Linked DNA regions of Mus musculus: regions 1, 2, 3, 4 and 6 are each reported to be linked to region 5. The links are microRNA targets in miRTarBase. Many come from high-throughput screens and were not tested one by one. Region 5 holds a microRNA gene; each other region holds the end of a gene's coding sequence.

Evidence for each region. The annotated mature microRNA mmu-miR-17-5p reads CAAAGUGCUUACAGUGCAGGUAG and lies in region 5 at 3,592-3,614, shown strand. An mRNA with a match to its seed (bases 2 to 7 or 8) in the 3' UTR can be bound and repressed. Matches are read on the target gene's strand: a 7mer-m8 pairs with bases 2 to 8, a 7mer-A1 pairs with bases 2 to 7 and ends in A, and an 8mer does both.
Region 1: miRTarBase lists Prune2 as a target of mmu-miR-17-5p. Seed matches in the 3' UTR shown: 7mer-m8 at 3,411-3,417.
Region 2: miRTarBase lists Nfe2l2 as a target of mmu-miR-17-5p. Seed matches in the 3' UTR shown: 7mer-A1 at 605-611.
Region 3: the mRNA of Cyth1 is a reported target of mmu-miR-17-5p. The part of its 3' UTR that is shown has no 7-base or 8-base seed match.
Region 4: the mRNA of Lrrc3 is a reported target of mmu-miR-17-5p. Seed matches in the 3' UTR shown: 7mer-m8 at 4,450-4,456 and 7mer-m8 at 1,569-1,575.
Region 6: the mRNA of Zfp652 is a reported target of mmu-miR-17-5p. The part of its 3' UTR that is shown has no 7-base or 8-base seed match.

The regions. Positions count from the first base shown.
Region 1 is chr19:17,219,959-17,225,030 of GRCm38, forward strand. Prune2 (prune homolog 2) reads left to right here. Exons shown (of 20, transcript NM_181348.4): 20 at 826-3,974. The coding sequence ends at 856. Among named protein-coding and RNA genes, the nearest start is that of Gcnt1, 130 kb to the right of the region's middle.
Region 2 is chr2:75,671,412-75,676,483 of GRCm38, reverse strand. Nfe2l2 (nuclear factor, erythroid derived 2, like 2) reads left to right here. Exons shown (of 5, transcript NM_010902.4): 5 at 1-971. The coding sequence ends at 523. Among named protein-coding and RNA genes, the nearest start is that of Hnrnpa3, 15 kb to the right of the region's middle.
Region 3 is chr11:118,161,639-118,166,707 of GRCm38, forward strand. Cyth1 (cytohesin 1) reads right to left here. Exons shown (of 14, transcript NM_011180.4): 14 at 2,532-4,456. The coding sequence ends at 4,378. Among named protein-coding and RNA genes, the nearest start is that of Gm38514, 26 kb to the left of the region's middle.
Region 4 is chr10:77,896,257-77,901,328 of GRCm38, forward strand. It overlaps Lrrc3 (leucine rich repeat containing 3), which reads right to left. Exons shown (of 2, transcript NM_145152.4): 2 at 1,319-5,072. The coding sequence ends at 4,571. Among named protein-coding and RNA genes, the nearest start is that of Lrrc3, 3.7 kb to the right of the region's middle.
Region 5 is chr14:115,040,093-115,045,164 of GRCm38, forward strand. Mir17 (microRNA 17) reads left to right here and starts at 3,579; the gene lies at 3,579-3,662. It overlaps Mir18 (microRNA 18), which reads left to right and starts at 3,759; the gene lies at 3,759-3,854. It overlaps Mir19a (microRNA 19a), which reads left to right and starts at 3,908; the gene lies at 3,908-3,989. It overlaps Mir20a (microRNA 20a), which reads left to right and starts at 4,065; the gene lies at 4,065-4,171. It also overlaps Mir19b-1, Mir17hg and Mir92-1.
Region 6 is chr11:95,763,447-95,768,518 of GRCm38, forward strand. Zfp652 (zinc finger protein 652) reads left to right here. Exons shown (of 5, transcript NM_201609.2): 5 at 93-1,269. The coding sequence ends at 613. Among named protein-coding and RNA genes, the nearest start is that of Gm38957, 11 kb to the right of the region's middle.

The DNA.
Region 1 (5,072 bases), not on the chromosome of region 5:
TGCCATACCATCTCTTCAGCCAAGTAGATGCCAAAAACTGACTATCACAAGAAAGAAAAATGGTCACTCAAGATAGGAAGACACAGTAACATTCTTTATCTGATTTCACTTTGAGACTTAACATGAGCTGTTCATCCCTGGGTCCTTTTGAAAAGGTATAAAATGCTTTCAGAAGCAATTTTGTAAAAACGAAACAGCACCAATATGTTTATTTTTAAAATATATATCTATTTCCCTATTTGTTGATATGCATGTGGGTCTTTTGCTTGCATGTATGTCTGTGCACTGTGTGCATGCCTGATGCCTACAGAGGCTAGCAGACAGTATCAAATTTCCCAAGTGATAAGTCGTTGTCAAGGGCTGGAGAAATGGCTCAGTGGTTAAGAGCACTGACTGCTCTTCCAGAGGTCCTGAGTTCAACTCCCAGCAACCACATGGTGGCTCACAACCATCTGTAATGGGCATCCGATGCCCTCTTCTGGTGTGTCTGAAGAGAGCTACGGTTTACTCATATACATAAAATAAATAAATAAATACATTTTCAAAAATAAATAAATAGACAGTTGTAGATTTCCATGTGGGTTCTGGGAATCAAAGCCAGGTCCTCTGGAAGAGCAGCCAGTGATCTTAACCGTGGGGCCATCCCTTCAGCCTCCATAGTCAATATTTTCTAGAAAACCTTAACAACTGTCTGATTGTTTTCCAGCTTAAAAAGCTTAGGCAATTTCTTCAAATTATTTGAAGAAAGATACAAACAAGTGACACCTGAATTGACTCTTCCTCATTGGTGTGTTTTCTCTCCCCACCCCAATCCCCTCAACCCAGCATTGACATGAAGCTGAAGGAGAAGCCGTAGCTGGCCTGCTGGAGGAGGACTCCCTTTCTGCTTGGTGATTTTGCTGGGACGTACCTACCTGGAAGCAACAGGGATGGTGACATCTCCACTTTGCACCACCTGGTGCCATTGGAAACTTTCAAGGAAAAGAGAATTTGTTTACTGTTAACATATCCTATGAAATGTTGTGTCTTTTCCTATTTTGCCAATTACGTGCCTCAATGATTTTAGTTGAACCTTAGCAACTAAACCTTCCGTTTAGTTTTATGGACCTTCCATTTTTACTATTATGCTAATCTTCGGTGCAGTGGGACTTGGTTCCTTAGACTGGTTTTTACCAAAAGCATAGCCTAGTTCTGCTGTTAGACAGATGTGGATATGTTTCTGTAGACTGACTGAATCCCTACAGAGCTTCCTTCTAGATTCAGGATGCACAGGGCTTGCCTTGTCCCAGGAACATGGCTTTCTGGAACTCTATGAAATGCTGAACTTGAATAGGACAGACAGACAGATATAAAATCCTCATCAGCTAAGGCATCTGCCCCCTTCCTGTCCACATCTTTCAGTTTTTCAAAAGGACCCGGGCTTTCTAACCCATGCAAGCTTTACTTTATATTTCTGCATGTAAATTGCTCTTTTACAACATCATCTTCTAGTGAGCTTTGAAGAACTGCATCTTGTGAAACTTAAGACGAGCTATGCTTCAGGCCACAGAACAGGCTCCAACCTTTACACTTCGTCCAACTCCAAGGTGGCCCACTGAGAAATCACTGGGTAACATCGAATCGTCCAAAATTAACACTCAGATGCATTGCAAAAGCAATCTGCTTGAGGAAGTTTAAAATTAAATACAAGTATATACTAGCCTTTATGAAATAGCTCATTTCTTGTTTTTTATATGCCCCTAAATTGTTACGGCAATTTCCAGTCTGTGGATCTCCAGCAGAGGTTGGCAAGCTGTACCGAGGAGGCTAAGGCTCCAAAGCAAGAGAAGGTGGCTTCCACACTTACAGTTGAAAACAAAAATTACCACTTAACTGTCTGAAGCTTCTTTTACTCATTCTCCACCAGAACTGAACAGTGACAACAGACAGTTCTTCACAAAGCCAGAACACTATCTTTACAGGAGAAAAAACAAAGTGTGCTGACCCCTACGAGACCAAATATCCATTCCCTCCCTGGTCTCCCTGCTCTGAGTATTTATTTAAATGCTTTCCCCAACTGAGTACACAGAGGTGGTTGTAATCTCATTTGGTTTTGTCAAAAACATTTTTATTTTCTTTCAAGGCAGGATCTCACCATGTAGCCCAAATTGGCCTAGAACTCACTATGTAGACCAAGTCAGCCTCAAAGTTGTGGCAATCCGCCTGCCTTAGCCTCCCAAGTGCAGGTATTATTATAGGCTTGCACCATCATATCTGGACTTGTAAAGAAAATTTCGACATTTACAGACAGTGAAACATCACCTGTGGCCTACTGAGAAAAGCGATGGGTCTTTCTCACAAAAGTGTGGCTCTCTTAAAGCATGGGATTGCTAGACTCAAACTGAAAATGTCCGAAAACTCTTTAGACTCACTCACTCTTCAAAGTCATCCGTTACCAAGCAGCTGGCAAGACAGGCCCTGCCTGGTGGCTTTGTAGGAGAGCTGCAGACACTCTGAGCCCTGAAGAAGTCTCCTCAACAGGGAGGCTTCTTAGCCCAGGTGCCAGAGGTCTTCTGACTTTATCTGCTTCATGTCTGTTTCCAATCTGTCTTCCGTACAAGCTCACACAATATACGTGAGCCGGTCGGTTCCCTTCCCTTCATAAAGCTCCATTATTTACTTTCACCTGTTGATCCTGTTCAACTTAGTTTTTTTTACCTTTGTCTTTTTTTCAATCTCCCTTCTCTCTCTCTCTCTTTTTTTTTTTTTTTTTTTTTTTTTTTTTTTTTTTTTGCTAATTCGATAGAAAAACCTCAGAATCATCTAGGCTCCCACAGCCTGCCCTGCCCTTTGGAAGCCCACCTCAAACATCATGGTGATAGGAATATAGTTACCCAATATCCTGATTCGCTCACCTGCTTAACATATTAACTCCTTTATATTCCATTCTGGAAGATGAATTTCACATTTCCCCTAGCCATGTTAAACTTATGTTGTTGTGAGAACTGCAGAGTTTGGCTCAGCAGATCTGTAGACATGGGACTCTTTTCATAACCAACCAGACATGGCAACAGGCAAACAGGCACACCATTCACACTTTCTCTGAGTCTGTGTATGGAAAATGACTCACTCGTGTGGCATGGCAAAGTAAATTTAATGTGAGCAGTTTCACGTCAATGATATTTGGAAAATCCTATGGGCTGTAATACCATTACAATATTTAAGCACATGTTATCTTACTATCTTCAAAAAACAAGTTACTTTAATTGCATGTGCTAGAGAAAAGCTATCATGCTCATCAAATGAATAGGCTTCTAGGGAATTCTGGGAAAATAGCCCATAAACAGGTAGATGTAACTCTCACGTCGCTCAGCTGTAGCGCCTGCACCCTGGGCATTCTTGCTTTGGTCTGGACTGCCAGGACCTGCTTTGCACTTTTTCCTGTAGATTTGTAGTTAAGGGAACACCGAGGGGTCATTGAGGCAGGAGTGGTGTTCACTCTGAGTTCCAGCTAGTACTTAGCTGGATTTTGACTAAGGCTGAAACAAAAACCTTCACAGAAGGTAGTTGTTGAAGAGTGAGAACAACTGGGGGTGGAGGAAGACCCCAAAGTTCCTATTGAAGCCATACAGTGTTATATAAGGTTCCTCCCTAGGGCATACTGATGAGCAAAGAGGCCACCCTCCCTAGCACACATCCTTAGGATGTAACTTTGAGAGTCCCTTCATGGTTCTGCACAACCCTTGTCTTATCACTATGCCCCAGTGGTCTGCTACTTTAGGAATATCTAGGTGTGCACAAACTTAACCTTTTCTATATCTAAAGAGTTTTCTACGTGTATCGGATTGCTCAGAATAAAGTATATATTAGACGAGTTTTGGTAAAGAAATAAATTCTATCTGGATAGTATGGTTTAAAAATATGAAAATATGTTAAGAACACAATGTATTGCTATACCCTTACTGTGTAATTCAGAAATAAAAATAGATTCCACACATTGTGGTTTCCTCTTTCAACTCAGTGAAACTCTCTGTGGCTTCCCTTAGCAGGAACATGATATGCTGGCCACTTGCCACAGGCAAAAGCAGTGTGCATTTGACTTGCCTGGCCATCGAAACCCTATTGTTTTCTGTCTAATTCTACCTTTCATGTCTTGGAGGCTTTTGCACTGTACTTTTAAAATGGACCATTTACTCTTTGGAACTGTCCCCTCATTTCGTGGTTACTTGATTGTGACTTTTTCTGTCACTTGCCTATTCGTGACATATTTATTTTTAAAGTAAAGCATACTAAGGGCTGGGGAAGAGGGGGTAGAGTTCCGTGGTGAAACACGCACTTGGAATGAGCAAGGTTCTGTGTCTAATCCCCAGCAAAACACACACATGCGTGTGAGCACACACATACATACATATGCACATACACACACATATACACACCCATTCACACATGCACACACGTGCACATACATACGCATACATGCACATACACACAGGAACATACACACATACACATATGCACATGCACACATGCACACGTGCGTGCACGCACACACATACACATACACACAGGAGGGTGTCATTTTAACCTCAACTGTCTTTGTTTCCCTTTTTGTTTTCTGGAGTCTTTGTTGAACTTTCATAGCCTTTAGGCAAAAACAGAGTTAGAAACCATCACTGTAATTGTTTTTAACTAAATAAGACTCACCTGGGGAGCCATCCCATTTACAATCACCAAATCCAGACACTGTTGTTGATGCCAACAAGTGCTTGCTGACAGGAGCCTGGATATAGCTGTCTCCTGAGAGGCTCTGCCAGTGTCTGACAAATACAGAAGTGGATGCTCACAGCCATCCATTGAACTGAGCATAGGGTTCCCAATGAAGGAGCTAGAGAAAGTACCCAAGGAGCTGAAGGGGTTTACAACCCCATAGGAGGAACAACAATATGACCTAGCCATTACCCCCAGAGCTCCCTGGGACTAAACCACCAACCAAAGAGCACACATGGTGGGACTCATGGATCCAGCTGCATATGCAGCAGAGGATGGCCTAGTGGGACAACAGTGGGAGGAGAGGCCCTTTGTCCTATGAAGGC
Region 2 (5,072 bases), not on the chromosome of region 5:
GAGTCCTGGTCATCAAAAAGCCCCATTCACAAAAGACAAACATTCAAGCCGCTTAGAGGCTCATCTCACACGAGATGAGCTTAGGGCAAAAGCTCTCCATATTCCATTCCCTGTCGAAAAAATCATTAACCTCCCTGTTGATGACTTCAATGAAATGATGTCCAAGGAGCAATTCAATGAAGCTCAGCTCGCATTGATCCGAGATATACGCAGGAGAGGTAAGAATAAAGTCGCCGCCCAGAACTGTAGGAAAAGGAAGCTGGAGAACATTGTCGAGCTGGAGCAAGACTTGGGCCACTTAAAAGACGAGAGAGAAAAACTACTCAGAGAAAAGGGAGAAAACGACAGAAACCTCCATCTACTGAAAAGGCGGCTCAGCACCTTGTATCTTGAAGTCTTCAGCATGTTACGTGATGAGGATGGAAAGCCTTACTCTCCCAGTGAATACTCTCTGCAGCAAACCAGAGATGGCAATGTGTTCCTTGTTCCCAAAAGCAAGAAGCCAGATACAAAGAAAAACTAGGTTCGGGAGGATGGAGCCTTTTCTGAGCTAGTGTTTGTTTTGTACTGCTAAAACTTCCTACTGTGATGTGAAATGCAGAAACACTTTATAAGTAACTATGCAGAATTATAGCCAAAGCTAGTATAGCAATAATATGAAACTTTACAAAGCATTAAAGTCTCAATGTTGAATCAGTTTCATTTTAACTCTCAAGTTAATTTCTTAGGCACCATTTGGGAGAGTTTCTGTTTAAGTGTAAATACTACAGAACTTATTTATACTGTTCTCACTTGTTACAGTCATAGACTTATATGACATCTGGCTAAAAGCAAACTATTGAAAACTAACCAGACCACTATACTTTTTTATATACTGTATGAACAGGAAATGACATTTTTATATTAAATTGTTTAGCTCATAAAAATTAAAAGGAGCTAGCACTAATAAAAGAATATCATGACTTAAACTACTTTGGACTTTTTGAATTTATTCACACTATTTTCCATAGGACAATCACTCATTTACCACATTTGGTTATTTTACATTTTCAAAATGGGTTTGAAAATACAGAGGCATTTTATAGCCATGTGTGGCAGTCCATGATTTTTATTCCCGACATTCAGGAGGCAGAAGCAGGCAGATCCCTGGGCTCCAGGACGGCCAAGGCTACATGAGAGCTTGTCTCAAGAAAGACAAACCCTTTCTATACTAAACGTTAGCTAGGATTGTCAAGGAGATGGTATATATCCACAATGGTATGCCTGCTGTACAGTACTGTGGCACAGAGAACAAAACCTGTAACCTCCCTGTGTTCTTAGAAGTGGCATTCTAAGAGGGCTAGGAAGCATACTAAGGAAGGGGGGGGGGGATTGAGAAAACCAGTTTTTAAAAAAAGCTGGTCGTAATGGCTTACATCTTCAATTGCTGAGCTCTGTAGACAAGGCTACCTTTGAACTCTGGTGCAGAGTCTGGCAAATCTGTGAGTTGCCCAGCCTGGTCTACATAGAGAGTTCCAGGACAATCAGAGCTATGTAGAAAGAGACCCTGGGTCAACAAGTCCAAATAAACACTAGTGAAAATCATCACAACGTATAGGAGCTTGCAACATCTGAAGGTATAGGTTGATATGCTAATCAGCTCCACAGAGCACAGCTGAGCAGGCTGCACAGAGGCTGGAAGTGATGGGAAGAAGAGCGTTATGAAAAGCACAGGCATGGGCAGTCTTAAAAAGGGGGGATCTGAGGTTGAAGTGGGCTATGAGACTGGTCCTCTGGTCAGTGAACCTGAACCCGAGCAGCCCAGGTGAGGGGTGGGACGAGAGAGACCAGTTGTTCCATATATACATCTCATACATCTCTTTCCAACCCCCTCTTGGTTTTCAAGGCAGGGTTTCTCTCTGCAGCCCTGGCTGTCCTAGAAGTCACCCAGAAGACTGGCTTTGAACTCTGAGATCTGCCTGCCCTCATCTCCGGAGAGCCGGGATTAAAAGCGTGTGCCACCATTTTGTAATGGTGGAAAAACTAGCTCACTTAATGTGGATAGGTTGAGACTGATTAGACATGTAGAGGGAATAAAAACAAAGGCCCTAAAATTGGACAATGAACATTTCTTTTTTTGGGGGGGGTGGGGTGGGGTGGGGGAGGTTCGAGACAAGGTTTCTCTGTATAGCCCTGGCTGTCCTGGAACCCACTTTGTAGACCAGAAATCTGCCTGCTCTGCCTCACGAGTGCTGGGATTAAAGGCGTGCACCACCACGCCCGGCTTGAACATTTCTTTAAAACAAAAATCCTTACTGCCATTGTAAAAGTTGGGTGCTGGGTATGGCGCTACACTCTGGAGGAAGTATTATCTATCTACATTCAAACCCAGCCTCTGCAGTCCCAAGGCTACGTAATGGGATTTGAGGAAAGGGGTCCTGAGATGCACTTAAGAATTGTGTATGTCAATAAGCATAGACTTGCATATTTTCCCTCTCAAGTCCTATCGATACACTAGGACCAACCTTGTACTTACTAGGCCTGGCACTAGACTGAACCTGTTGCCAGTCATTTGTTAGAGAATGAATGGCCTCCAGCCACTCATTGAGCTCTCAGCCTTATCTCATCCATAAGATGGAAACACCCAGAAGTGGATACATTGTTCATCATCTTCAAAACTTATTTTTGGTGACATGAAAAACTAGTAAGAGAATATGATGTATGACTGAAGGGTTGAGTCAAAATTGGACCTAGGATTCATGAGAGGCTTGGTCCTCTGGGGGCATGGTAATGATGGAAGATTCTAGGAGACACTGTTCCAAATGAAACTGACAGGAACCTTGGGTGCAGCCCCATCTGGAGCACGCAAGAACAGACTGTATCCATCTACATTATCACAGTCCAACTTGACAAGATTCTGCTACTCCTAAAACGGAACTCACCATAGAACCTTACAGACCTGAACTTATGTTGAGTAGTAATGGTTCATTGGCTAAGAGCTGACTGCTCTTCTAGAGGACCTGGGTTCAAATCCCAGCACCTGCATGGCAACTCACAACCATCTGTCCCAACTGTTCCAGGGGGACACAACACCCTCCCCTGGCCTCTATGGGCACCAGTTACACAGAAAGACATGCAACCAAAACATCCATACATACCACACAAGTCTTTTAAGAAAATAAAAAATGGGGCTGGTGAGATGGCTCAGTGGGTAAGAGCACCCGACTGCTCTTCCGAAGGTCCAGAGCTCAAATCCCAGCAACCACATGGTGGCTCACAACCATCTGTAACAAGATCTGACGCCCTCTTCTGGAGTGTCTGAAGACAGCTACAGTGTACTTACATATAATAAATAAATAAATCTTAAAAAAAAAAAAAAAGAAAAAAGAAAAGAAAAAATGTAAAACAAATCCTAGCTTACCTAACCATTAAGAACAAAATTCCCTTTGTTCTGCATTTGAAATACAAACTCTAGCCCGTTTTAGCCTTACTTGAACTATTTTTAATTCAATTCTATAAGCTAAAATGCACACCTTTGAGGATATGTCCAACATTGTTTCCTAAATCTTTTTAACTTTGAATTATGTATATGACTGTATATCTGAGTGTGACCAGAGAGGGTGTTTGGGATTCTCTGGCACATGGCTGTGAACCATCTAATCTGAGTCCCAGAACTGAGCTCTAGTTCTCTGCAAAAAGACTTGCTCTTAACCAAGCCATCTCTCCATGCCCTCCATGCCCCGCCCCTTAGATTATATGTGTATGAAGGCTTTGCCTGCATGTATGTCCTCTGAAACCAGTTATGGATGGTCGTAAACTACATGTGGGACTGACTGGGAATCTGCAAAAGCAACAAACGTTCTTAATCACTGTGCCATCTCTCCAGCCCTTTATATTAAAAAGCAAAAAACAAAAAACCCTCTAGTTTTTGAGGGAATGGGAAGATGCTATTTAAATGTACTGCCACACCCTTAATTGATATGATTATGAAGCTGTGTAACAGTATATAGCTTAATCCTAGCACTCAGCAGCCAGGGCTACACTGTGATATCGTCTCTATTTTTTTTTTTTTTGGCACGGGGTGGGGGTGGGGAAATCATTCTTTCCATTTTAAAAGACAGCAGTTTAGCCAGGCAGTGGTGGCACACACCTGTAATCCCTGCAATTGGGAGGCAGTCAGGTGGATTTCTAAGTTCGAGGCCAGCCTGGTCTACGAATGAGTTCCAGGACAGCCAGGGCTATACAGAGAAACCTTGTCTCGGACCCCCCACCCCCTCCAAAAAAAAAAAAAAAGGACAGCAGTTTCAATTGATAGAAGTATACTTCAAAGAAAAAAAGGGGAAAAAAAAAATCAAGATCCTGACTTAGCTAATCACTCATTAGATTTTAAGTATGCTTTCGGGATATGTTAAAACACTACCAAAAGCACTCTTTAATAGGCACCCTTTTTAGCCAATCTTCACACTTAACCTCAGGCAATAATCTCCATCTTTGCTTAGTGTTTTTTTTTTTTTTTTTTTTTTTTTTTTTTGATTTTTCGAGACAGGGTTTCTCTGTATAGCCCTGCTGTCCTGGAACTCACTTTGTAGACCAGGCTGGCCTCGAACTCAGAAATTCGCCTGCCTCTGCCTCCCCTAGTGCTGGCATTAAAGGCGTGTGCCACCAAGCCTGGCTGGTCTTATTTTTCTTTCTTTTTTTTTAAGATTTATTTATTTATTATATGTAAGTACACTGTAGCTGTCTTCAAACACTCCAGAAGAGGGAGTCAGATCTTGTTACGGATGGTTGTGAGCCACCATGTGGTTGCTGGGATTTGAACTCTGGACCTTCGGAAGAGCAGTAGGGTGCTCTTACCCACTGAGCCATCTCACCAGCCCTGGTCTTATTTTTCTTAATTGAAGTCAGACTTGGGTGGTCTCTGAACCATTTTTTTTTATGTATATGACTATACACTGTAGCTGTACAGTTAGTTATGAACTTTCATCTGGTTGTTGGGAATTGACTTGAGGACTTCTTTGCTCCAGTAGACCCTGCTCGCTCTGGCCCTAAGATTTATTATTGTAAGTACACTGTAGCTGTCTTTAGATGCACCA
Region 3 (5,069 bases), not on the chromosome of region 5:
CTCAATGTAATAAATACTCAGGAAGAGGGGAGCATACTTGCCTGTCACAGCTGCCCTAAACTCTACAGTCTTGTGGTCCCCGCCCTGCCCCCAGCCCAGTGGCAGTGCTATCCTGAGGTTGCTCTATTTCTGCTACAGGGGAGCCTCAGGTGGAACAGCAGTAAACAAGCTTTCAGATTCAGTTCATGGACATAGTAGGCCCCAGGCAGTGTTTGTTGAATGAATGCATGAGTGAATGAAGAAGTGGGTTAGGAGTGGCAAGAGCAACCCTAATGCAACCACTCTAAGAAGGTAAGAGCTCTGGGACAGAGCATGTTTGACCAACTGCAGCACAAGATGCTGTGACTCGGCTCAGGCCAAGGACCAAGGCTCAGAACAGGGCTTGAGTCCACCTAACGGAGCAGAGAGGGTTAAATGTGAGCAGCAGAAGGCAAGAACCCAGGGCTCAGGGGTTCTGTATGTCATCCTGACTTCATGCTTATGAACGAGATACAGCCATGTAAACAGCAAGAGCCAAGTGGAACACATCGGCGGATTCGGTTTGATCAAATATGCACAAAAATTTAAGCCACGGGGAGGTAAGTAAATGTCGTGAAATGTCAAGGAACAAGATGCAGAGGCCTGGATTAAAGGAGACAAGAACAGTGTCTCTGCTGGGGCTGATCCTGCCCATGCCTGCATCCTGTCTGGCAGGACACGGGTTCTGACGCTGAGTGCACACCACCTTTGATCTTCACGCTGTCAGCTCTGATGGAAGTCACAGCTCAGTGGTCTGTCTCTGTGAGCTCTCCCCGGATGTGAGCTGAATGCCTGGGACCTAAAGGGATGCTGCTCACTGGCTCAGAGCCTCAGTGCTGCTCATTGGCTCAGAGCCTCAGAGGTTTCATCCGCGGTTCCTGGATCTGATGATCCTGATACGGTGAGGCGGAGCATCACGGCAGCAGGACCATGTGGAGGAGGCCGCTCACCTCATGGCACACAGGAGGCAGAGAGAGGACAAGACAGTCTCAGGAACTAGGTCCTCTGTGGCCTACTTCCTCAAGGACTCACCTCTCAAAGACTCTAGAACCTTTCAAAATAGCCTTCCAAGCCCCAGTACCTCCATGAGCTCCCCAGGAATGCTTTATAAGCAAACCTCAGAGCCAGGTTAGGAAACACTAGAGAAAAGGCAGGCAGGGCAAAGCCTACTTCTCACCCAACGTTGGGACATTAAACACTGTTCACTGAGCCTGCCTCTACAACCAGCAGCAGGTGACCCTGTTTCAGCCTGAGTCTTAGAGGGATAAGAGCTGAATTCACAGCAGCATCTCATACTTCTAAACATTAACTGCCATGTGGTAGGGAGCAAACTTCCTAAGTTCAAGTTGTGGACATCCTTCCTCCTTCCTTGACAAGGTCTCCCTGTGTAGCCCTGGCTGTCCTGGAACTCAGAGACATCAGCCTGCCTCTGCCTCCCTAGCACTGGGATTAAAGGTATACACCACTACTCCTCGCTGGATCATCTCACTATTAAATTTTGCTCTCCAAACATGAGATTTTTGTTTAGGTCTTCTATGGTGCTTTTCAATGTTTTATAAGTATATGTATCTCTTGCACTTTGAAAACACGTAAGTACTCTATTCTTTCTGGCAATAAATAGAATTGTTTTCTTTTTTTAAAGTTTTATTTGTGTGTGTGTGTGTTATTTAGTCTACATGTGTGCCTGTGCACGTGTCTGTACAGTGACCCTAAAGGCCAGAAGAAGCTGTTGGGACATCTGGAACTGGGGTTACTGGTGGTTGTAAGCCACCATGTGGATATTGGCAACCTAAACCGGGTCCTTTGAAACTTTCAGAGTACCCAGTGATTGTAACCACTGAACCACCCACCCCCCAGCCCCTAAGTTGTCTCCTTGACCTCCTGTTCTATGTTGTTCATCAATGATGTACTAAGAACAGCTGATTCTCAGGCCTGGGTGAAGCTCAGCTGGTAGAGTGCTTATCTCGCATGCAGGAAACCTTGGGGGCAAGCCCTAGCACACTGCATAAACTGGGCATGGTACATACCTGTAATCCCAGCACTCGAGGGAGGCAGAGGCAGACCAAATGTTCAGGGCCATCTTCAGCTGCACAAGGAGCTTAAGGCCAGCTTGAGAGACGTGAGATACTGTCTCCAAAAATCAGTCAATGAAAAAAGAAGGAAGCAAGAAAAGCACAGAGGCCAACTTCTGCTCCATTAACTGTGTGCCCAGCAACCTTCCGTTTCCTGGTCCTGCTCAGTTGCCTCACAAGGATATGTAGTGCCACACTGCAGGAGGCTGCTCGCGTGGACAATTTTTGCTCCTTGAGGCTGAGTTTCTTCCTCAGAAAGAGAGGTAAGGGTTAAGCCCCTCTTTCCTTGTTATGCCATCCGTGGCAGAAAATAGCCCCTACCCAACCCCTGGTTTTAATCACAGCCCCACTGAGTTTGGGGCACACCCATGCCACGGGATGCTCCAGCCCCCAGTCCCAGGCTTGACAAGAGATGACCCCACAGCAGAGCAGAACATGAAGTGATGTGGGCAGATTTGGAGTTTATTTGCTGCAGTTCCTTGGAGCTAGTTTACAAGGCAAAAACAAAACAATAATAATAATAATAATATTTTTAAAAACCCTGTCAACAAGTTTCAGTCATTTCTTTGTATTTTGACAAATATTTTTTAAACAAATACAAAATAATCTAAAAGGAGAAAAACTATGTGTGGATTATTTACACCTCTGATAAATAGACTGACACTGAGCCAGGTGCTGGCCTGCCCAGGACACACCTGTGAGAACCGGTGTGAAGGGAGGGCTCTGCACTTGCCTGACTCCCCACACAACCTGGGCAGGCATTGACTGGTTCTGCGGCAGGAGGCTCAGGTTTCCAGCCTGGACCCTTAGCAGTCACTGTCACCTTCACACTCGAGTGTCAAGCACCTGAAGCCTCTTGAGGCCGGATCCTGCTGTATCCCCAGGAGGGGCGAGTGCCGCCCCCTACACCCACCCTTCTCTGCAAAGCTATTTCCAGAGATGTTGACCTCCTTCTGAGATCAGAGAGGCTGAGCTCACACAGCCCAGCGGGGACCCATGGCTCCTCCACCTGCCTGGAGGCAGCATTCTGCCACCAAGGCCTTGGCCACGTGGAGGAGTGTGCCAAGACACCGCCTGCCACCTGCTCTGCCTAGACTGGCATGCTAGCCCTGGCCAAGGAACAGGAGCTGCCCTTGAGAGTCCCTGAGAGAACGGCAGGAGATGCTGCGTTTCATGGCTCCCTTCTCACTGAGTTAGGAGGCCAGGGTTCACTCACATGTGTGCTGTGGTATGCCATGCCATAGAGGGCAGGGGACAAAAAGGCCACCTTACCCTTGCCTGACTGCACTGCAACCTGCTGAGAAAGGCCCCTGCTCCTGGAGGCTACCACAGAGTGCACCAGAATAGTCCAGAATAGGGGCGGCTTTTGAGGCAGAAAAGGCTGAAGCCCCAAGGGGATCAGGTAAGACCTGCTCCTTCCTCTAGAACGAGGAGTGGAGCTCTTGGGGAGGAGAAAGAAAAACCAGCTATGAAACAGTCGCCACCCAGCACCATGGGTGAGCTCCTCACAGTTTTGGTTATTAGGAAAATGCAGACTTTCCACTTTAAAGAGCAGTGGGCCTGGGCACTGAGGGCCAGCAAGGGATTAACCACCTTCACTCTGTCCCCCAGGCACTGGGTGGGAGCTGCCCATACTGCCTGCCTGCTGCCCTGCTGGGGCCCTGAGGCCTCCTGTGTCTGCTAGGCCCTGCCAGCAGTCCTGCTTCTGCCCGTCTTGCCCACACAGTCATGAGGCAGCGGCCCCTGGAGTGCCCGCAGCCCCTGGGGTGCCCGCAGCCCCAGGGCCCCCCTTTTTAGGGGAAGCAGGGCACAGGAGGGCAGAGTACAGTGCTACGTTCACTTTTGCTTTAAAAAAAACAAAAATAAATCTTTATAGTGCGTGGCTTCTCTTCCTTTCCCCCTCTCTCCTTAGTACACAGAGTACATCCTTACAGGCATTCTCGGAGCAGAGGCGAAGGCCCTTGGCCAGGAACACTGAGAGGTAAAGAGCGAGCTCCCTGTGGTGCCTCAGCCCTGCTGAGCTGAGGCTGTGAACCAGCTGCTGGCAGCTGCTGGCTCTGAGAGCGACTCCAGAGCCATGAGGGCAGCCGCAGTCTCCAGCCTATCCCTCGCCGCCCACCCTTCTCCCACTTAGAAAACTGCAAAAGCTGAAGCAAGTCTCTAGGAGCGGAACGGCAGGAACTGGCAGAGAAGCCCTCTGCTCTCCTCTGCTTGGCTCCACAGCGCCCTCAGGGGAGGCAGGAGAAAGGGCCACAGCCTCATGGGCTGGCCATGCCCTGGTGCCCCCTCAGTGTCTCTTTGTGGAGGAGACCTTCTTTTTCCGTGCTGCAAGCATCTCGTAGAAAGGGTCTCTGCTGATGGCAGCCCTGGAGCACAGAGAAGGAGAGAGCAGGCATGAGGGCAGGTCAGCCGGTGCCACCCCAGGAGTCTGTGCTGCCAGCTTTCACCAGGAACACCCACCCTCACTCTGTCTACAGGACAGCTTCAGGTGACACATGGGGACATGTAACAAAGTAACTGGGGTTTCTGCCTTCTTCCCACTAACACGACTTAACACTTGAGAGTAGAACCACTGTGTGTTCCTCAGCTGTGACTGTCTTCCGCAGCCCTGAGTGCTGTACTGTAACACATGCCACAAGTCATTCCACACATGGTGTTCAAGAGGCTGCCGTGGACTGCACAGGGACTTCTGGGAGCCTACGGCTGCTGCTGGGGCCCTGCTGCCTCTCCAGCCTGGTGAGGGAGGGTGCACTTGCCTGCACTAGACAGTGGCTGTGGGTAGGGTCACAGAGCTGCCGCTTGGTCTTCTAGGGAAGCAGGACTTGGGTTTGGTTATTTCTGGTGGGCCACTGTGACCTGGAGCCTCCACAGCACATACTTTCAAGTCTTCTCTTCTTTCTCTCTTTCTCCTCCCCACTCTTTCTTTATGTGTGTGTCTGTGTGTGGGGGAGGGGCAGGGGGTGCTGTCTGAGCTGTAGT
Region 4 (5,072 bases), not on the chromosome of region 5:
TTCCAACACTAGCCTGTGGTGTGCAAGGCCAAGGGGTCCATTGCAAGTCCAGAGAGCTACAAAATTCCTCAGAATCCCAGGAAAGCAGCCGCCACCTCTGGATTCTGGAAAAGTCAAATAGATGCTGCTACAGAAGAGACCCTTAAGCAGGCAACTGCCTCTAGAGGCCTGGGGGGAGGGGCGAGGTGCAGATTAACACTCCCTCCAAAGACCACAGACACAGTGGGCCAGGAGTGAGGGATGGATGCAATGACAGGTGCATGTGTGCAGAAATGTAGTGCATGCCTCTAAATCTGCATGTGAGCCTGTGTACACTCACATGAGTGTAACAATATCTCTGTGTCTGTCTGGCTTACATGTAGTGGAAATGCATATGCATGTATTTATGTATGTGTGTATACGTGTGTGTGTGTGTGTGTGCACTTGCAGATTGTGGAAGCTCCTGGACTCCACTCTGGCTACACTGAAGGTTTCCTAGAAGGGACAAGCCAGTTTGCAGGGAAGGGAGACAGGCTGACGGGTGATGTGAACACTCTTTGGGTCTTCCAGCCACATTAACTGAAAACTGACTTGGGTGTGAGAGTGCTCCATGGCAGAAAAGCATTCTACAGAGGGAAAGAGATTGCATCCATTGTCCAGCCCAGAACCCAGAGAACAAGGCAGGATAGAAAGTAGGAAGGGATAACCCAGGCTGGTAGGTGGGTACCAGACCATCTGTGGGGACACAAAGTCTCCAGATAGGGCATCTGGAAACAGCAGTTGGAAAAGTTGGTGAGGCAGACAGGCGGGCAGCCGTGACCTCAGAGCAGGGATACAAAGCTGTCAGGAGACAATAAGCATCCATAGATGGTGAATCCCAAGGGCCATGGCCCTTGAGAAATCAAATCCTGAAGATTCAGAAAAGTTATCTTTGGCATGACAGTGTGGCCTAAGGATCATGGCTTTGTGGGAGCCACCCGCACTGTGGCTATCCGGGTGCTGCTGGCTCAGCCTGGAGGCCACGCTGAACTGTTCTCACACAGAGTGCTGTCAAATAATAACTGCTTCCAAGGATTATGAGGGTGGGATTCTGACATGTGATGTTTACCAATTTCCTTGGCGTCGAGCCTCTACGTGGTCAGATTCAAGGCACCATGGTACAAGCTGGCTCCCAGAATTCCTGAAAACTTAATGACGGCCATTATGATCTAACTATGACAATCAGTTGTCTAGCTAGTTGAAGATGCCCTCCCAGCTGTGAGGACCTGCAGACAGATGTTGACACGGTCGTGAGGGATGGGTGTCGGCTAGAATTGAAGATGACAGAATCCCAATCAGCTTTCCTGCACAAAAAGTTTTATTGAGGGCTCACAGAGAGGCTGGGAGAGGACAGAATCAGGTTCGGGGCTGAGCTTCCAAGAAAGGCAACATAGAAGCCATCCTAGGAGCCTAGTCCTAGTCCTGAGAGCTGCCACAGGCTCAGAACATTCCATCTCAGTCTGTGACTTACCACCCCTCAACCTCTAACCCCACCCAAGGATTTCAATTTAAACCGTGTCTTAGGCAATCACATGTAACTAGTGGGAGGGAAAGTGCCCAAAGGAGCCAGTGGGTGGGACCTGGGATGATAGGTTTATACTGATGGGGGTGAGGATGGGGCAGGACACTGAGCCATGTGGCAAAAATAAAAACAACAAAAAAAAACCCCGCCCACTGTGCCTGAGGAACACTCAAGTCGGGGTGGGGTGGGGGTGGAGATGCGCAGAGTAGGGGAGGACTGACCCAGAGTCCTGGAGATCTAGAGGGTCTGTGCAGAGTTGGGGGAGGAGAATATCTCATTCAAGGAGAGAAGGAAGGTGAAGCTGGTGGAAGCAGGTGGGATCCAGGGAGAAAGACAGTTTCAATGCAACCATCCACATCTGCAAGTCTCCAGCAGAGGCTCCAGCCTCATACACTTAGCCTGTGAGTTGGTCATGGGAAGGAAGGGAAGGGTATCTATATACATGAATGAATGACATGGAATGGGACGACAGGGAGATAAGACTCTGAGGCAGCAGGGTTGGAAGCTTGGATGAGCAGGAGAGTGCTGAGGTCTCTGAGGTCCTCCTTATAGGAGGACAGGGCATGCTCTCTCCAGGGTCCATACTCTCCTGAGTCTCCCATCTCCTCTTTCCAGCAAGGGCTGAGCAGGAGCTGTATAGATGTGCAACCAGGTAGGGCTAAGCCCTAGGTTAAGAGCAGCAAGCCTGGCAGTGGGTTGAGCAGCCTGGGACGGAGCCCTACCTACACCGGTGTATCTAAAAGACCCAATAGGGTGTTTCTGGGACAAGAGCAGCTACAGACTTCACCACCAGGCCTCCACCCATGTTCTTTTTTGACCTGGTTTTGTCGATGGGACAGACATGCTGGATAGTGGCAAGCTCCAGAAACAGGGTCCCTCTACTGAGTAGGATGGTAGAAAGGCCGCAGGGGCCAGCTACCTCCCAACTTGTGCCCCTGCCTGGAAGCAGCTACCGTCCCCACCACATGGTAATAGGAATGCAAGCCATACCCTCTGCACTGGCACCTCCCAGAGTATGTGTCAGGCTAGAGGTGTCCCTGTCCATGGGACATACATAGATAGCTACTTCAGCACTGCCACAGCACCAGGGTGGTACCTGGTCCTTAATCCAAGCCCTCAGCTCTGGCTTTTTTTTGTTTGTTTGTTTGGTTTGGTTTGGTTTTTTCGAGACAGGGTTTCTCTGTGTAGCCCTGGCTGTTCTGGAACTCACTCTGTAGACCAGGCTGGCCTTGAACTCAGAAATCTGCCTGCCTCTGCCTCTCAAGTGCTGGGATTAAAGGCGTGCGCCACCACTGCCTGGCTCAGCTCTGGCTTTTTAACCTCTTTTCCTTGGCACAGCACCCTCCAGGGTCCAAATCATACAGCCCTCAGCACCTGCCTCCTCTGAACACTTAACTGGGTACTGGGTATTGAGCATGTCTGTGCCAATGGGGGCCAGGCAGCATCACAACGTTGACTGGTGTCCCTAAGGAGGCTGCTTCGAGGTTCCAATTCTCATGGGAATGGGAATGGTCCTACTAGCTCCGCCAGGGTCTGACCCTGAAGACAGTGTAGCTTGGCCCAGGGCTGTGGAAGAATAGTGGACAGCTTGGGAGCTCATCCAGGGCTCTGTTCACCCTGCAGATGCCAGGCATGGTGGCCCCACGGTCACCATGTAGGTGTGGGCATTCAGCAGTGGGGAAAGTCTGGAATTCATGAGTGTTTTTCTCTTCCATATACTTTTGCAGCTGACAGCCATGTAGCCTCAGGCAAGTGTGTCACATGGTGACAGAACTGTGGGTCACACTGACGGTAAGGACCAAGTCAGGCCAGGCCCCCAACATAGTCTCACCTTGCCCCTGCAGATCACAAGAAAATTCCCAGCACACACAGAAGCCACATTCAATTTCTGCTCAGAGCGGCATCTAGACCCTATACTCAGCACACACACACACACACACACACACACACACACACACAGACACACACACTATGCTCATTTACTTCTCCCAGATACTCGATGACGACATAGCTTAGGGTATAAACACTTATACAAAAGGACAGTAAATAACAAAACTGGAAGTCAAGTCTAGTTAGGTGGCTAGAACATCTACCCCTGAAGATGAAGTAATTACAGGTAAGAAAGTTGATCAGTGAGCTCTGGGATTTCAGCGAGGTGAAGAGAAGGTTCTTGTTGCTAGAGAAAAGCAGTTCCTGTTGACTGGCATGGCAACCTCAAACTTCAGTCCCTCCTCTTTCTGAAAAAACAGCTGCTTTAGATATTGGCAGTAGAAAGCAAGGCACAAGAGCCACCGAGGTTGACAGGTTTCCACTGCCCAGGAATGGATAGAAGTGGCAGAAGCTGAGGCAGCCCATAAGTGGTCTAGCAGCTGACACGGCCATGGTGAGCCCATGCTGGACCTTTCTCACGTTTCTCCATTTTCTCCCTCTCGATGGACTGACATTTTGGCACAAGGGCAACTAAAGAACTCCCAGGACAAAGGTCAGAGCAGACCAGTGCAGGCTGGACTTTGCACTGACCTCTCTGGAAAGGTCTAGATTGCCGGTACTTTGCTCTGGGAAAGGGCAAACATCTCTGTGTTCAGATGTACTGGGAGAGCAGGGGTAAACAGAAATGAGCCATTCCCCGGTGGCAAAACTGCTGGCGCCATCCTCCCTGCCAGGGCCCCCATCCTTGCGTGCACAAGTATTTACTTCCCACAGCATGGTGTGGGAAAGGGAGGTTGGCAGATCAGACGGCTCACAGACCTATACCACAAACAGCCTGGGTTTAAGTGGCAGCTGAAGCCAGCCTTGGCAAGGAGTTCCGTTTCTCTCGACCTCCATTTACCTACCCATTAAGATGGGCAAACCCCCCTCCCCCCGCTACAGTGTTAGGCAGTGGCTGCAGGGACCAAATACCAACTATGAAAGTGCTTTTTTGGGCTGAACAGCTGCAATGCACCTCCCTGGGGACACAAGAGCACCATCACCTCCACCTGCTGCAGAAAGACAGGGTAGCCAGGCTCAGTGGCCCACCGGAGGTGGGTGCTAGGGCACAGGGCTAAGAGGCTCCTTGGAGACTGGAGCACTAGGCAGGGACTTCAGGTACTCCAGGTGTCGTCTGGCATCCTCCTGGTTGTGGCGTACGTAGTACACTACGTAGGCAATCACCATGGTAAACCAGCCGAACATGGTGACCAGCATGGCGACATCGGTGGTCTTCCGGTGGGTACTGCAGAAGCTGGCACCTGAGTCCAGGACCTGGATCAGCGGCTTGCCCACAAACTGCTCCTGCGCTGAGGTGTGGCAGGCAATTTCATCCACGGAGTCCGGGTCCAGCTTTAGTTCCCACAGGGCCTCCTGCAGGGCACACTCACAGTGCAGTGGATTGTGGGACAGGCGGATCTTGGCACTCAACTTGCCCAGGGCGTCCTTTGGAATTCTTCGGATGCGATTGTGGGATAAGTCCAGCAGCCGCAGGCCCCCAGCCAGACCTGAGAAGGCTGCTGGCCCAATGGCCTCAATGGCATTATGGGACAGGTCCAGCTCC
Region 5 (5,072 bases):
GACAGAAGTGGCATGTGCTTTGCAAAGACTACGAACTGGATTGCTCGAAACCAGTTTGAAATTGCTGCTTGTAGTAGATGTTATGAATTCTCAATTCTTTTAATAAGGTTTCTGAGAATTCTGGAATTTCCTGAACCACAGCATGTAGCAGGGAGTGGGCTTATCTCAGCTCTGGGGTTGTTTACAAGGCACTTTCCGAGCCCTGTGCTCTCTCTCTACCAGAGAGCCCAGACTTCTCGGTGCTGCACTAGGCGAGGGAGGCGGCTCAGGTACTGGTCGCGAAGCTCCGAGCCCAGCACGCGCCCCGTCGCACGCGGCCAGGTTTAAGGAGACTTTCCCGGGAGGAGCTGGACCCCCAAAGGATCCGTGATCTACGGAGATCGGGGGGGGCGACGGTGGGCGAGTGGATGTGACTCGTCTCCCACTCGCGTGGGCCTCCCGATCGGCGGCTACGGGAGAGTGGGCGAGCTGTGGTCACCGGGCGCCTCCGTCGAGTCCCCGGCCAGCGCGGCTGGCGGGAAGCCTGAGCCGCGTGCGCTCGCAGGAGGGTGCGCGGCGCGGGGTCCGCACGCGCGGGGCTGGCTCGGGAGGGCGTGCCGGGGGCGTGGCGCGAGGTGTCCCGGCCCGGAGCCCTGCGCCGAGGGCAGCGGGCGGCAGTGGGCGGACCCCGGGGGACGCGCGGCCCGGGGAAGGCGGCGCGGCGCCACCAGCGGCTCCCCCGGCTCCCGCTCGCCTGGCCGCCAAGAACGAGCCGCCGTGGGCGGGGCCTGCGGTGATTGGCGGGCGGGCGGGGAGGTCGGAAGTACTTTGTTTTTTATGCTAATGAGGGAGTGGGGCTTGTCCGTATTTACGTTGAGGCGGGAGCCGCCGCCCTTCATTCACCCACATGGTCCTTCGAGGTGCCGCCGCCGCCGCCCCGGCCCGCGCCTTCGCGCCACTTCGCGCCCTGCGGCGAGGCCGAGGGGTGGGGACGGTCCCCCACGCCGCCCGTGCCTCTCCACGGAGCCCCGAGCTCGGACCGGGCCGGGCGGGCCACGCCGCACCCCCGGCCTGGGGCCTCGGGCCGGAGTGGCGCGGAGGCTGGCGAAGATGGTGGCGGCTGCTGCGGTGAGTGCGCCCGCCCCGCCGCCGGCTCAGGGAAACCTGTTGTGCGCTAAGCGGAGCGGCGGCGGCGGCGGGACGGGCGGGAGGGCGGGGGCCGCGGGCCGGGTGGGTCTCGGGCCGTTGGGCGCCGGCGTGGGGCGGCCGTCCTGGCGCGCACGCGGGCCGGAGGGGGCCCGAGGGGGCGGCGGCCCGGGCCCCGGAGAGGCCCGCCCGGCGCACACAATGGCCCTCGGGAGGCTTCGCACGAGGCCGGCGGCCGTCCCGGGAGCGGCGGGAGCCGGGCGGGGCGCGCGGCCGCCGTGCGGGGAAAGTTTCTCCCGGGGGCGAGAGTTAAAGCGCCTCCAGAACAAAGCGGCGGCGGCACATGGGGCAGGCCGCGGGCCGGGAGGGGGCGCGCCCACGAGGAACCTGCGCGCGGGCGGCGTGGGCGGGCGGCACTCGGCGTCCCCGAAACTTTGTGCGCGCCGGGCCGGGCTCCGGGACGCGGGAGCTGCGGGGCGACGGGGCCGGGGCGCCACCCCGCGCTCCGCGTGGGCTTTGTGTGCGGCCGCGTGGGCAGCTCCCCTCGCGGGCGAGGCGACCCCTGCGGTCCGCCCGGGCGGCCCGGGACGCCCCGGCCCGCCCTCGGGGCGGCGCGGAGCCCCGGACGGGCGCTGGCTGCGAGCGCGGCGCGGGAGGGCCGGGCGGGTTCGGCAGGAGCGGCGGCCCCGCCGCCATGTTCCTGCGGGGCGGGCTGCGCGCGCCGAGGGCGGGGGGGGGGGGGACATGGCGGCGACTGCGCGCCGCCGCCGATTGTTCCCGGCTTAGGCCTCGGGCCGCGTGCGGCGAGCGCCCTGTCCGCCCCCCTCCCTCCCCCGGAGCCTGGCCGGGGGGCGCGCGGGACACAAAGGACGGCCGGCGTGTCCGGAGCCTCGCCACGCTCGGGCCTCCGCGCCGCCGCTCGCCGCGCAGCCGCCCAGAAACGGGCGGGGGTTGGGGGGGGGGGGGAGTCTCCGCGTCCGGCGCAGCGCGGCCCGGCTCTGACCTGCCGCCCCCTGGCGGCCGCGCGGGGAACCCACAAGGGCCGCCTGCCCCCTTGTGCGACATGTGCTGCCGGCCCGGGCTCCATGAGCGTGGCGGGTACTTGGCAGGATCCCGTGTTCCCGTCCGGTTTTCTCTTGATAAGCTGGCGCGGAGGGGAGAAAACTGGAGAGCGCAGCAGGGCTCGTGGTTCTTAGGTGACCAGAGGGAAGAAAATGAGCAACGTGCCACGAGGATCACAGCAGTTGGGGAAACAACTCTTTATCCCGGCGTGCAGCCACGAGGTCCTGATTGGGGGAGGGGTGGTGAAGACTAGTCCTGGTTGCCCTTTTTCTCTAGCTTGAGCTGGACAGTAGAGTTCAGGCTTGCTGCTACTCATCTTGCAGTATTTCAGGGGCACATTAATTCGTGCACGGATGTGAATCTTGGTGGGTTTTCAACTTTATTTTGTTACAGCGTTTTCCACCCAATACATTGTTGCCCTCAGGACCTTGTGGTCCTGGCTCTCTCTTTTTTTTTTTTTTTTTTTTTTTTTTTGGCAAATGGATAGAATTGCCCCTTAGGAAGATTAAGAGAAGAGCAACTTGGAATGGGGCTCGGAAAGTGGTAGTAATTTTGAGCAAATGTGCTTACCCTTTCTCTGTCTTCACCCCACCCCCAACCCTAGTCATACACGTGGACCTAGCAGCACCCGAAGCATTGCCCAAGGATACTTGCTGAGAAGGAAGTTTGCCTGAGTGGGTGAGTATATTCTAGTTTTGTAGCTAAAACTTCTTTTGAGACCTTTGGTTTTCACTTTTGTCTTTGAGCTTGTACAACATTCTTGGTCTTTTAAGGTATGAAATAAATACAGTTTGAACTCTTGTCATAAATGAGTGAGCCACATTTTAACGTAGTAAATCTACAGTGGCTTTTGGACACTAACCAAATAGTTGTAGACCCTTCAAGTTGGAGTCATAGAGTATTTCTAATTTGGGGTGATACTAAGACTTTTTTATGTTTTATGACTAATAAACTTGAAAATGACTAAACAATAATCATTAATCTTGTCGAGTATCTGACAATGTGGAGGACAGAAGAAAGGGATTGCTGCCTGGTCAATGTGAGGCTTTCCTCTAAAGGTAGTACCAAGTCAGACTGCCTTCCTGATAACAGGTCTCATTTTGTAGGACCCTTATTGTGTGTTTTTTGGGGAAGCCTACTGTAAAAGCCAACATTTTAATGGGATTGTATCTTATATTTCTTTAAGGAGTTTTTTTTTTTTTTTTAAGGCTTACATGTGTCCAATTTGGAACTTCTGGCTATTGGCTCCTCCCCTCCCCCCCTTGGGTATAAGCTGTAATTGATGTTTGTGACAGAATTTAGAGCTTTGGCTTTTTCCTTTTTGTCTAATTATTTATTTCAAATTTAGCAGGAATAAAGTGAACCTCACCTTGGGACTGAAGCTGTGACCAGTCAGAATAATGTCAAAGTGCTTACAGTGCAGGTAGTGATGTGTGCATCTACTGCAGTGAGGGCACTTGTAGCATTATGCTGACAGCTGCCTCGGTGGGAGCCACAGTGGGCGCTGCCTCGGGCGGCACTGGCTGCGTCCAGTCGTCGGTCAGTCGGTCGCGGGGAGGGCCTGCTGGTGCTGCGTGCTTTTTGTTCTAAGGTGCATCTAGTGCAGATAGTGAAGTAGACTAGCATCTACTGCCCTAAGTGCTCCTTCTGGCATAAGAAGTTATGTCCTCATCCAATCCAAGTCAAGCAAGCATGTAGGGGTCTCTCCATAGTTGTGTTTGCAGCCCTCTGTTAGTTTTGCATAGTTGCACTACAAGAAGAATGTAGTTGTGCAAATCTATGCAAAACTGATGGTGGCCTGCTATTTACTTCAAGTGTTGTTTTTTTTTAAACTAATTTTGTATTTTTATTGTGTCGATGTAGAGCCTGCGTGGTGTGTGTGATGTGACAGCTTCTGTAGCACTAAAGTGCTTATAGTGCAGGTAGTGTGTAGCCATCTACTGCATTACGAGCACTTAAAGTACTGCCAGCTGTAGAACTCCAGCCTCGCCTGGCCATCGCCCAGCCAACTGTCCTGTTATTGAGCACTGGTCTATGGTTAGTTTTGCAGGTTTGCATCCAGCTGTATAATATTCTGCTGTGCAAATCCATGCAAAACTGACTGTGGTGGTGAAAAGTCTGTAGAGAAGTAAGGGAAAATCAAACCCCTTTCTACACAGGTTGGGATTTGTCGCAATGCTGTGTTTCTCTGTATGGTATTGCACTTGTCCCGGCCTGTTGAGTTTGGTGGGGATTGTGACCAGAAGATGTGAAAATGACAATATTGCTGAAGATGCCGATTTCCACTGTAAAAATGTTCACGAGCTGATGGAGTGTATGAACACATTCTGTAAACTGTGATTTCTATTGCTTTCGTTGGTGTGTAAAACGGGATTTTTTTAATTGAAATTTGTGTTTTTAAATTGTGGTTTGTTTTTACTGAATCATTTCATTTTCGTGTTTGCTCGCTGGATTTAGTAAGAAGTTGTGTGTGGGGGCTTAGGTGAAGTTAAACTGCCTTTTGAACCTGGTATGACTTCAGGTTTATTTTACTCTAAAACCCATTAACATGAGTTAAGAAAAATGTTACTTTCTTTGGATCTCTGTTTATTAAAGTGTGACAATTCAGATGGAGTGTTTTCTGATAAGATTATTCCTAATCCGTGAGTTCTTAACAGTTAACAGGTGGTGGCCACTCTGTTAATGTGCACACCCTGTAAGAAAGAACTATCCTTGGACTGTTCTTACCATGTGACCCCCTCAAGGGAAAGATGGCAAACTGATGGTCAGTAGAGTGACAGGTACACATGACACTCGAGTGCTGGGTCTGGAGAAGCTGCAGTTAGTATTTAGGATAACAGTATATATAATATATAGTTCTACATTTGGGCAGCACAGTTGGTTTC
Region 6 (5,072 bases), not on the chromosome of region 5:
GGACAAAATGCTGAAGGGAGAGCATGAGCATGAGTGGCAGGTGCCTGTCTTTACACCGGGGCACCGACCCTGTCTGTCTGTGCTAATCTCAGGAGAGAAGCCTTTCATCTGTGAAATCTGCGGCAAAAGCTTCACCAGCCGACCCAACATGAAGAGGCACCGCAGAACTCACACAGGCGAGAAGCCCTACCCCTGCGATGTGTGCGGTCAGCGGTTCCGCTTTTCCAACATGCTGAAGGCCCACAAGGAGAAGTGCTTCCGAGTGACCAGCCCAGTGAATGTGCCGCCAGCTGTCCAGATCCCACTGGCCTCAGCTCCAGCTGCTCCCGCTCCGGCCGTGGCCAACACTCCCACCAGCCCAGCCCCTGCAGTCAGTATGAGCCCCGTGGGTGCTGTGCTTCCCTCGAGACCCGTCCCGCACCCTTTCTCACACCTGCACATACACACGCATCCACACCACGCGCACCACCTCCCCATCCCTCCTGTGCCTCACCTGCCCCCACCCCCAGCCCTCTTCAAGAGTGAACCCCTAAACCACAGAAGCCAGAGCGAGGACACCTTTCTGAGACACCTGGCAGAGAAGAACAGTGCGGCCCCCGCCCAGCACCATTAGCCCTAGCCAGTGCCGTCCCCACGGTGAGCTGGCAGAAGGGACGCAGCCGTACTTCTCTGGGGTCTGCCTGACTCCACGGCCTCCTTCAGGGCCTTCACCGTTGTCCTGGTGAGCCCTCAGACTGGCCTGACGGAGTGAAGACGACGACTGCCCTTGAAACCAGGGGAACCACCGAACTAAAGCCCAATTTGCTTGCATTTTCTGATGACTTTTATAAATTTCAGATACTGTGACTGTGGGATTTTATAATTTCATATCAGCGGATGAGGTATGCTTGCTTTTATATCTCGGTCTTCTCCTCAGAGAGGGGTGGGCCTGTTTCCTTTATACTGATCGGGAAGGCTGTGAGGTTAGTCCAGAGCATTAACTATATCACTGTGTACTGCAATGAATTCGGTTCAGCTTTTGGTGCTGGCTGCAGAGTCGAGCTGGCTGCGTTTCACACAATATCAAGCATTATAGAGAAGATGGGAATTTTCTTCTTTGTGTAGCTCTTTTAACACACTCTTTATTTTACTACAGAAATTATTTTAGAGTTTTTGTATAGACTTTAGTAGTCTGTTTCTAAAATGAGATGTATTTCAATAAGCTGTGTAATTTTTTCAGTGTAGCTAAACCCATGTTGTAAAATAGATAAATTTTTATAATCATCAAAATGTGATTCTCAAAGATGCATATAATAACTTCTATCTCAACTATTCTTACATCCATACAACTCAAAGGTGCTTCTGTGACTGGATGTATCTGAGCGGGTCACCAGACCAGGTACAAAAGCAAGGTTCAGTACAAAGTTAGTCAATGAATTGGATGTCTCTGCTGGGCATTCAGTCCATTGGGCTCACTGACACAGCCAGTGTTGGTGTCCCTTTGAGTACTCTATGGATTCAGTGGGGTGGTGTGAGGGAATGGGGTCACTCAGAGTTAGCGGGGCTTGCAAATGTGAATGACATTTGTGAATGCCCTCGGGAGAAAGTGACGGAGGTCGTTTCCTTGGATCACGTCTGTTTCTCACTTTCTTAGAAACTGTGTTGTGCGCAGCTGTTAGGGGAAGATGGATTGGAATCTCTTACTTTGAGGCTCCTGTGTTTTCCAAGAGTGTTAGAAGAAGCTAATAGGGTGAACTGAAATCACAAACGTAATTGCTGGTAGTGACCAAGAAATGTGGATGGGAAGGCAAGTTGACTTTTAAGTTTTAAGATGCCTGCAGTCTCTAAAACGTGGATGTCCACACTGACTGGTATCTGCCATTAAAAATGTAGTGAGAGGAAACCCCCAATACTGTTGCCTGCCCTCTCCAGAGGAGGGAGACCGCAGCATCTTAGGTGAGGAAGGAACAGTGCCCTTGTCTCTCGAGCGGCAGCTTACTCGGTCAACATTTGGGGAACTTAAACAGAGCGTGGTCACCCTGGAGTGGATATACGGAAGGCCAGAGAGAAGGGCTAACATGGTGGTTTCAGTCAGCTGACAGGTGTGCACGGCACAGCTCCTACGCATTCTGTGCTGCTCTTCTCAGAGGCTGAGTTCCAAGAATGGCCTCTGCCTCCCACCTCTCTCCTCCTCGTCTCTCTATCCTCAGGCTCTTAAATCAGACCCTTAGCTGTTATTTATTTATCTTTGATATTAAATGTGCAGTTATGCGTTGTGCACTTTTTCCTGGCTACTTAACTCTGCAGTGGGGACACACGGACTCTGGACTGAGGTTAGGTTCCTGCTTTTAAAGTATCATACTCTAAATTAGTTTTTTTGGTTTACTATTTCTAGATTTTTCTCCAGTTTTGCCCTTGTCTTCTGTAAACATAGGAAACATTGTGTGTGGAGTCAGGAAAGTCTCTCAGGACACACTTTCCCTCCAGCTTCTAGCTATGAATTTTAATGAATGGTATTTGTAATATTTGCATGCATTCTTGCAGCCCTCACAAACCCGAGGCAAACAAGGAAGCAGGTTCCTTTTCTGAATGTCGTGACTTAGAAGTCACCCCTACCCCATTTACCTCCACAGTCTCCTCTGCAGCTTATGGGAAGTCTGCAAATCCACCTTCCATGTAGACAGATCCATATCTCACGGCTAAACCTATAATATTCAAGTATTTTTATCAAAAAAGGTATAATTTGTAGCTAAGTTAATAATTGGTTATACCTTATTTTATACTAAATGCTTTTACAATATGAGGCAGACATTCTGAATTCTAGTCTTGAGGCTGTTGAATTACAACCATTTGATGGTTATACTATGAATATTCATTGAAAAATTCAGGTTGTCAGTTCTGACTTTATTCAAATGACTATAGCCATAAGAAACTGTCCTCTACATAGGAAACCCAATAGCGAGTCAGTAAGCATCACTATCCTTAACAGAAGCAGAAAAAAGAATTTAAAATAGTGACTTAGGCCTACCACACTCTGTCATTCTTACTCAAATGTGAAACAGTGTAGAAATGGCAATATATTTTTTTTTTCTAGAGAAGTTTATCTTCCCTGACTTGAGAAGCCTGCTCTAAAAAATGGCTCTCAAAAGTGTACGACTAATGGGCATATGTATAATGAGATCTATACAGAAATGCTTCGGAGTCAGAAACCACAGGGTCACGCCTTAAACATGCAGGTACCTCAGCTGTCACGTGCTGAAGACTCAGACTCAGGGTTGACAGTGTACTTGGGGAAGAGCTGCAGTGTGTGCTGTGCTGGCCCACATGTGCTGCAGCGCCCCAGGAGTTCTACAGTACCTGTTACATTCTTGTTACCTGTCCATGGAAAAAGACCCGTGGAAGAGTTGGAGTTCTAGGCTTGTATCTTTACTGTTGTCTCGTAACACGTTACATTTCAGAATAACAGATTTTAAGTCAAGGCTTTCTCTTTACACCATTCTATCTTCAAAGGCTTTGTTGTGGCAAGGATTACTTAGTTACAAGTAGACCAGGCTAGCCTTGAATTCACAGCCTGAGTGCTGGGTCTACAGGAGGGAACCACAACCGGCCCCTCCCCCAAGAGTTTTGTTGTTGTTGGGGTTCTTGTTTTGCTTTTTTTGAGAAAGGGTCTCTCACTAAATACCTACGCTAAGCTGAACTCCCCAGTGGATACGGTCATGGTTACCTCAAACCCATGACTCCCTCACCTCAGCTTCCCAAATGCTGGGCTCGTTGTACCTGCTCCCCCCGCCTGGCTTCCACAGCGATGTTTCTGTGTTGGTATTACGTTGTTTTGGGTTGAGTCATGCATCACTTGCTTTCTTCTCATGGATTTATCATTTGGATACAAACTTTTTTAGCCTAATTCATTAGGCTAATTCATTAGGCTGCTGCTCTCAAACTGAGTCAGGCTCAGACTGGGTTAGGTTTTAAAACTGAAGGAAAAGAAGATTTAAAGGCACGTGGCTTCATTTTATTTTATTTGTATATTATTTTGACTTGATTCTTATTTTTAGCAAATGGAGAAGTCTCCACATAAAACTTTAATAAAGTTTAAAGAAACCTTTGTAAATCATTGCCAGGTACTGTCTTAGTAACCCTCAGCCTTAGGCCTCACCACGGGCCTTTCCAGAGTTGTCCAGTCTGAGAACCTCATCTGTTGACAGTATCCTTCTGAGCTAGCCCCCACCCCATACAGCCCACCCCACAACCTCACCCCGTCTAACCAGAGGCAAAAATCTTTGAAGTTTGGAATTTTTAACTTCTTGAAAATCTTTTTCAGTTTTATGATTGTTGAGTGGATGTGGATGTGTGTTTAGTTTCATTTTTATTTCCCTAGAAGATTTAAATTTTGAGACTATGAAGCAGAGAAAGAACTCCACTGCGGAGGCGTGTGTGTGTGTGTGTGTGTGTGTGTGTGTACACATGTGCACATACTCATGAATGCACACATCTATATGGATCTAGTCCCTCTTGGAGGTTTGGTTAGGAAAACACACTAGAGTAGGTGAGCTTTTTGTATTTAAAGAGAGAAAAACTAAAACTTCCATTAAAAGAACCCCTCTGTTTAAGTCAAAGGCGCCCCCTTTGTTTAAGCTACTGTATGAAAAATACCACTTTTGTTACTTTGATGGTCCACATGCTAGAGATTTTGATGCTGTTCCGCATGTGTAGCATGCCATGAGAAGAGAGAGTATGTTAGAGCTAACCATTTTATCAACTAAAAAAAAATCAGCTGGGATTCTTAAACTTCTAACCCTGAGCAAAGAGTCACCAGGTTTAAGGTTTTTCTCTACTTAAAACCAAGGTAGAAAATTCCCAGGAGTTCTCGCTCTCTCCATTTTTTTTTTTTCTTTTTCAGGAATAAAGGGTCATAAGCCATTAGAAACAGTGGCATTGTTATGCAATAACAGCTCACTAGCTAACCTACAGTCTTGGGAAGCAATGCTGACCTTCCAACCCGGAACTACCTCGCTAAAGCAGCCCAGAGGTCCCCACTGCACTCTCTGTGGAAGCCATAAAAGTCGCCAGTGTGTCCGTTCACCTTCACAGCT